Nothobranchius furzeri: one gene and its partner. The protein of the gene in region 1 interacts with the protein of each later gene in a biochemical or structural test. Links are inferred from orthologs where the notes say so. Each region holds a gene or a part of one and is shown on either strand. Other genes may lie near its edges.

What was found.
Region 2: the proteins of rab31 (region 1) and eea1 form a complex in vitro, tested with the Homo sapiens proteins (2 studies listed by BioGRID). The link is inferred for Nothobranchius furzeri from reciprocal best matches to the Homo sapiens genes RAB31 and EEA1.

Annotation. Positions count from the first base shown.
Region 1 is NC_091751.1:42,851,211-42,855,492, forward strand, and holds the start of rab31 (ras-related protein Rab-31), read left to right. Parts: upstream 1-1,471; 5' UTR 1,472-1,606; coding exon 1,607-1,642; intron 1,643-2,490; coding exon 2,491-2,570; intron 2,571-3,059; coding exon 3,060-3,141; intron 3,142-4,282. UniProt on the Homo sapiens protein: The small GTPases Rab are key regulators of intracellular membrane trafficking, from the formation of transport vesicles to their fusion with membranes.
Region 2 is NC_091744.1:73,672,439-73,676,261, reverse strand, and holds part of eea1 (early endosome antigen 1), read right to left. Parts: intron 3,756-3,823; coding exon 3,634-3,755; intron 3,530-3,633; coding exon 3,374-3,529; intron 2,229-3,373; coding exon 2,112-2,228; intron 1,382-2,111; coding exon 1,043-1,381; intron 883-1,042; coding exon 733-882; intron 389-732; coding exon 269-388; intron 178-268; coding exon 1-177. UniProt on the Homo sapiens protein: Binds phospholipid vesicles containing phosphatidylinositol 3-phosphate and participates in endosomal trafficking.

The DNA of each region.
Region 1 (4,282 bases):
TAAAGAATTTACGATTGGTCGATTTATATATTATATATTTTAGTTCTGACCAATAAAACGTTAAATAATTACTTAGCTTTAATTTATAGCTTATAAAGGAGAATGTGTTTTTGCCAACTTTGAACAGCAGAGGCACGAAGTCTATGCAGCCAACAAGTTGATGAAAACAGGCAACAACAAAAAAAAACTGCAAAAATCTAGACGGAGCGCAAATTTCTTTTCTGTTTTCTCTGCATCTTTATGTGCAAACAAAGAAAAGTAGAGAGTTGCATTCTTTTTCTGTTGAATGTTAATTTAACCATTTGTTTTCACATCTAGAATTTGCAGAACCCCCCTGCAGATTTTGGTCGTGTATTTGAGTTCTGTTTTTTAGGTTTCTCTCGTGTGAAAGTAATCATAGTTACAGGTAATTTCAAAGTGGATTTATGCAGAAGACTGTCATTGTTTAATGTCGTTCTTTGCTGTACATTACTGTAACATTCTAAATGCATTTTGAGCTCTTGGTTTTTTAATATTATTATTGGGGACAATTGGTTTGTTTTGGTCACAGCCACGTCGATTTAATCTCATCTGGATTCATGATTCAGCATTATTAATCCTGTGACTGAAACAAATATGCATCAGATTAGGCTGATAGGCTTCTCATGAGTTTATTTTCATATTTTTTTTTAGCTTTTGTAGCAGATTGTTGCAGATGGACTAATGCTGTGAAGAATAAAGTGTCAACTAAATCTCTGCCTCATGAGGTCTGCTATTTTATTCTGAAGGAGTGCAAATTATTCAGAACTTCTTTGGTGCTTTGTTGTTTTTCAAACATTCCTGTCAAGTCAGATAAAAAACAGAAAAACAAATCAATGACTGTTAAATAATTTCATTAAAATGTAATTGAGTTAACTTAATTGGTAAACTGGTGCCAAATGAGAAATAAACGCAAAAATGCCCAAAATCTTACTGCAAGCTAATACCAATTAATTAAATAATTTACATGTATTTACAAATGATACCCACTCATCACAAGTTTTATCATACAATGTTTCATGTATTTTTATTTATTTTATTATCAGGATATTCTGAGCTCCTAAGCTCTCCATCTGGATCTACATTTTTACGTTCTGAAAAATGTTTGTCTCACTTTTCACTGACTGAATACAGATAATTATAAATTATTCAGATTAATTTACATGGACGTTCCTTTCACTAATTTAAATTATTCTAATCTGAAATCCAAACAAGGTAATGCGTCAAAACAAGAGTTTGACTGCTACTATAAATGTGCATGCATTACATATGCAATACATGTTAGATTACATTTTCTTTATAAATTTGTAACACACCAGCTAATATTTTCCACTGTCTTTTGTGAAGCAAGTAAAACATGCGCGTCATGTGAGTTTTATTTTGAAATTCACGCCGGAAGCAATATTTTCTGACTTCACGGACAGCCAGAATTCCGATTTTATGGTCAGCCTGTCGGTCTCAGGGGCTGGGTTTCCCTTTTATCCAAGAAAGGGAGGAAAAAAAACAAGCACTGACAAACATGACGAGACAAAGATTATGATTTAAGTCGTACACATAATTAATGATTTAGACACTTTCAGGACTTGCCATGGCGATAAGGGAGCTCAAAGTTTGTCTTTTAGGGGTAAGTAGAAGACGTTTTTGTTGAAATTATCTGGGGCTATACATTCCTTCAGCGTACCGCAAAGTGGTGGAACTAAACCAAACCATTTTTCACGTTAACAACTTGATCTCAGAACTTAGTTGTTGCTTTTCCTTCGTTATCTTCGTAAAACTTGTTGCTAGCTTGTTTGTGAAAAAACAAACAAAAAAACAACAACATGTGATTAATCGAGTTGCGCCGCATTTCTTTTAAATTGGATATTTTCCCCCATTAATTTTACCGGATTGTTTTATTTCACTTTAATGTGTGGTCCCATTTTTGTTGCTTTTGAAAATTATCACCCATTACGTCATCTTCTGACTGACCGCTTCACGCGCCAGCCGTTAGCTTTCCTGCTGCGTCTGCGATCTTTTGACTCTTTGACAGGAAGTGCTTAGGTTAGCCCTTGGAAACGGCACTTTAATAACACCTAGAGGCAAAAGTTAGTACGTTTTAGAGCCTCATCGCGTCAATCAGGCCTCTTGAGTGCAATCACAGGCCTTAATAATAGAGTTAATGCTCCAAATGAGCTAAACATCTCATTATAGGAGATCACACATATTTAAACCATTTTTAAAGCAAGATATAAGGCTGATGTTTGTCTTGTGTAACTAAAAAAAGAGATGGATCATGGAACACAGTATAGATTTGGTTAACAATAATGATACACCCCTTTATAATGTTAGTTAAATTTACTATCAGTATAAATGCGCTAACTGAGTGTTTTTCGACCATCTGAGCTTGTAATCATCATGCAGTCGCACAATCAGCTGGGTTCAGTGACCATAGATTGCTTGCATGTGACTTATGTGTGACTCTTTTCTTTTCAGGACACTGGAGTTGGTAAATCCAGCATTGTTTGCAGATTTGTCCAAGATCATTTTGATCACAACATAAGCCCGACCATAGGGTGAGTATGAATCATCAGAGCCTAAAAGCAGGAAACAAACCTGGAAATGTTGTGCATAAACATGAACTTTGAGGTTCAAACGATCAATACTTTAATCAAGGCTGAGAAAAAGTGACATGTTTACTTTTGATGACAGAAAAAAGTCATTCAGTAGATCAGTTTGATCCCTTATTGGCAAATTTATTCCAGAAATAGTTATTTTAAAATAATCTCTTTGGAAAATTATACACCATAATTGCAGGAGTTGTAATTAAAATATTTCTTAGGTGCAATTGTTAATGTTTTAAATCAAACCCCCCATAAAAATTAATACGCAATTAGACTGATAAATGTTTTTAACCATTTAAACCAGTTTAATCTTCTTTTTATGATGGTTTACAGCCTTTAAAGTCACCCAGATTCATCATCACACAGTTATTTACACAATTATTAAAATGTCTGCTAACTAAGACAGTGCTGTGTAAGCAACTTTGTGAAATGCGTCTGCAGAGCATCATTCCTGACTAAGACGGTACCGTGTGGAAATGAGCTACATAAATTTCTAATCTGGGACACGGCCGGACAGGAACGGGTGAGTAACACATGACTCCATGAATCATGTTTTTCAACTGATTTTCCATCACGTTTTGAACCAGAGCCACTCAACACTCAGTGTTATTGTTAACTGAGTTTGAAGATGAGGAGATGCATCAAATACATCAAGTCTTATCTGAGAGTTTGGATACGTTTTGATTGCTGCTCACTTAAATTTCTTCTTTGGTTTTTAACAAGTAGCGAAAAAGTAAAGTTGCAGAAAACACTTAAGAAAAGTTCTCCCTAGATCCATGTTTCTGGGGCTGTGGCTGTTGGTGTGCTCTTAACATTCTAATATTGAGTTTTAGGACTTTTCTTCATGCATTTTCTATCATTTTTGGTTTTATGCAACAAAAATATCCAAAATAATTAGATAAAGTTGCAATGTGTTTGCTTTTATGTACGTTATTACACTCAAAAGAAGAGAATATTCTAGATGTCTTGGAGATTCATTAGATGGATGGTTTAGTGCTCTGTTGGGGATGGTTGGGGGGGTAGGGTGGATAAATGGGGAGTTACCTAAGACTTGCAAAATTTGCTTACTGCATGGAAAAACTAGTTCAAGCATTTCCTGGATGTGTGTGAAAACAATATCTGGAGACCTCTGTCTTTAGGTCTTACTGAGGTCTAAGACAGAAATGTTGAGTTTTAGTTTTAATAATGGTGTTGACTAGAGTTGTTATGGCGATGTAGTGTGAGATTTCACCCAAGAGCTTATGTTTGTTTTGCATACGTGGATGTCAATGAAGGGAAAAGATGATGGATGTTTGTGCAGAAACTGTTTTACTGGAACTCTTCCTCATATTAAAACAAATGGTAATAAACCCAAAACTTGTGCAGAAATAAAATGACTTGTGAAATTGGCTACAAACATCACATTTTCGCCCCGTCTGCAGCGTTTACTGCTAAGAGGAGGGGCACACACTGAACAAGTCACCAGTCCGTTACAGCGACACGGGACAATCAACTAGTCCTCTAGATACGGCTGGGCAATAAATCAAAAATGTATTCATCCACCCATCCATCTTCTGAACCCGCTTTGTCCACGCAGGGTCGCACGCGGGGGTGGGGGTGGGGGGGCTGGTGCCTATCTCCAGCAGTCAACGGGCAAGTAGGCGGGGTACACCCTGGACAGAGAG
Region 2 (3,823 bases), on another chromosome or scaffold:
TTTGAGCTGGTTAAGGACAGCCGATTCTCCCTCCCCAGCCTGGATTTTGGCACATAAGTCCTCTCTCTCAACTTCCAGCTGACTCACAATATCCTTACTCTTCTGAAGCAGAGCTTCCAGGTTCTGGATCTTCTGGTCTTTATCGCCGATCTGACGCAACACCTGCTCCAGGTCGTTCTAAAGCGCACATCAAAACCACATTGACATCTGTCCCAACAATCACCGGGGTGGAGAGGAAGCAGCTCAGAAGATGGAGTGAAGAGGCTACCTGTGCCTCCCGGAGTTTCCCGTTGGTGTTTTGCTGCAGTGCCTGCAGCTCCTGGTGCTGCTGCTTGGCTTTCTCCAGCTGGTGCTGCAGGTCTGTGTTCTTACTGGAGCTCTCCTTCAGCTGAGGAAAAAAAACACCAGCATCATTTTAGATTGCTGCAATAGACATTTTTACTTATGATCTAAAAAGATGGCAGATTTATTTTATTTTCAAACACCCAGAATAACATTTCTTCTGCTGATAATAATAAAAATGAAATCCGAACAAAAGTTTAGGCTTTTTGTAATTTCATGCTGTTAAGGTTATAAAATCTGAGCATGAAAATCTAAATCCTGGCCTTTGCTGAGCCCTCTGTGCTTTAAAATACCTAAAATGCTTCAAACAAAAACACAAATCATGTATACAACATCTTTTCTATGACATTAAATCCGTTGCAGGTGTTAGGAGTGAATGTTAATTCTGACTTGTTCTTCAGCACGGGAAAGTCTAAGCTGCAGGTCTGCTGCTTGCTGCTCTCGATCCTTCAGTTTCTCTCCTGACAGCTGCCTCTGCTCCTTCAGACGACCCTGCAGCTCGCCCACCTGCCTCTCTGCTTCCAGGAGTTTGGTGTGCAGCTGAAAGAGCGGGTAAAAAAAAGGGAGACAGCATCAAACTGATCTTTACACTCGTATCATGTGTGTGTGTGTGTGTGTGTGTGTGTGTGTGTGTGTGTGTGTGTGTGTGTGTGTGTGTGTGTGTGTGTGTGTGTGTGTCTCAGCAGGTGACCGTCCTCACCTGACCGATCTCCGTCTGCTGCTGAGCACCTTGGCTTTCCTTTTCTTCCCTCTGCTGTTCCAGTTGTTTCCTCTCCACCTTCAGCTCAGCGTTCTTCACCTCCAGCTCACTGATCTCATTCTTCAGCTTGGCCACCTCCTCAGTCCTCTCTGTGAGCTCAGTCTGGGCCTTCTGAAGAGAGGTTTCTGTCCCCGTGGCCCGGGCCTGGAGCTCCTGAACCTCAGACTCCCTCTCCCTCAGGCTATCTTGGACTCCCTTCTTTGCAGCTTTCTCAGCTCCCAGACGCTCCTGCAGATCTTGATATTCCTTCTCTTTACACACGAGCTTTTCACACAGACTCTGGGAGAAGAGAGGGCTTGAGATCAACCGGGGTTAAATGGGTGGAAGATGAGAAAATGTGGCATTTGACGAGACATTAATCATCTGTCTTTTGTCATTTAAAACAGCTGCGATGAGCCATGGGAAGCCACCGATGGAAAAGAACACTCAGCCGTCAACAGTCAGGAATAAGCATCACTCCGACAGCACAGATCCCAACAGGACACGCAGAGCTGGTCTGAGCTTTTACAGGCAGCAGGGTGATAAAACAGTAACGTGCTGTTAATGACACAGCCAGCTGCTCACGATACCTGCCCTCCACTTTAACACGCTTCTTCAGAGATGCTTTATTCTTCTCATTCATTCAATCTGTCAGTCGTTTTCCTACTGTCGAGAGATAAGCAGCTGCATCATAACGACACTGGAGATCCAGAGCTGGAGTCTAATCAGGGAGGCATCTATGACTCTGCGCTCCCCGTTTCCTGTACCTGGCTGCGATTGTGTTTCACTGTGACTGACAGAGGAGGCGGCGCAGCACCCCCCCCCCCCTGCTGGTTTAATAATAGTGCTGACCATAATATTTATCAACAAGCAGCTGTTGCCAGAGATGACCAATGACAGCGAGGAATTGTGAAGCTGAGCAACAAAAGAAGCCTGAGATGCTGCTGCAGTAAAGGCAAATCTGCTACGTGCTTGAGATGTCACAGTGTGTGTGTGTGTGTGTGTGTGTGTGTGTGTGTGTGTGTGTTACCTGACATTGTTGCTGCAGGTTATTCAGATTGCTCTGCAGCTGGTGGATCTGTTGTGTGTAGACGGCCACTTCCTGTGGACCTTTTTCCAGCTCTGCTTTGAGTTGGGAGATTGTCTTCTGCAAACCCGCAAACACGTCATTTAGACCAATTCTACAAATATTTATTCAGAAAATGGAGTTAAAACTGTAAAAAAATATTGTGAAAAGACCGCACGTTCACAAAAACGCACAAAAAATAAGTTACACACATTTTCAAAACGGAACATCTGAAAAGATTCTGATTTAATTGTGGGATGAATTAGAATGGAGATGTTTTACGTCCAGTTTTTGAATCTTGAATATTTTGAGTGTTGCAGAGAGAAAGTAGAAGTGTGAGAGAAGCAGGAGGAGGGGGAGGACACAAGGACAAAGGTAAGTAAGGAGACAACAAACTGCAGGAGAGGGGCTGAAAGAACAACATGGCAAAGACAACTTCACTCTGACAATTATGAAAAAATAAAATGAGGCTTTCTTCTTTGTCTAATTTCAGAAACAGATTATTTACAAATCAAAAACAAAAAAATGAAAGGCCTAGTGTTCATGTCGTAGCAGATCCTCTACAGTAAAATCATCTAATGTTGATAAATTAAGTTTATTTAAAATTCATTAAATCATGTTAATAATATGCACAATTATCAGTTAGCACTCCGAGTGTGTTAAGGATGAGATTCACCTACGAACACCCAGTTTCAGCTCAATATGTCTAAAATTAAAAGGGTTAAATACAATTTAGTTTGCTAGCGTTGGATCATCTGTGGTGTTTTTTCTTTTGCTTTACTAAATGACCCACTCCAACATTTTAGCTCGTCCACAAGATGCTGTTTCCACAAACAGCGCAGTCCCAGCTACTAACCCTTCATGTTAATCATCAGTGAGAAAAGAAATTTTACTAAATCCAGAAAAACTGGTTCTGTTGTGTGTAAAAAACAGAAAGTTGTTCTTCTAAAGATCATTTGAAGACAAAGATTTACATCCTGAAGCTACGTGGTGATAAAAATACTCCTCTCCTCTAGGATCCAGGGAACAAGACTGAATTATTCATCAGGATTTAATTAATAAAAGAACAACTCCAAAAGGGATATAACTACAGAAAACTAAACGACCTCATAGCTGTTTCTGATAAAGAAACAGATAACTTCACCATCCTGAAAGGTGAAGTGATGTCAGACTGGGCAAACAATAGAGGAAAACTGAAAGTATTTTCTATAAGAGAGTCTCCTAACCTCTGAGGTAGCGTAGTTAGCCTGTAGCTCAGCACAATGGTTTCTGAGGCGTTTGGACTCCTCCTCCTTCTCACGAGTTGTATGGTCCATCAGAGTTTGCACCTGAACCAGCTCCTTCTGCAGAACCTCCACATCCTCCACTCCCGGCCGCTGCAGCTAGGGGGCAGCATGGAGGCACAGCGTTAACCTGGTTCCTAAAAACTAGATCCTAAAGAATTTATGCGAAAAATGTCCTGTAAACTCTAAAGAGCAACTTGTACCAGTTCTGTTTGGAGTCTCTCGTTCTCCTGCTTCCCTTTTTGCAGATGTTCACTCAACTTAGCAAGCCTCTGATCAGCAGCTTCCCTCAGGCTTTTCTCCTCATCGTATCGAGACTTCAGGTCTGAAACATACACACTAAGTATCAGAGCATATTTCTTATCCCCAATTTTTTTTAAATCATGTAAGACG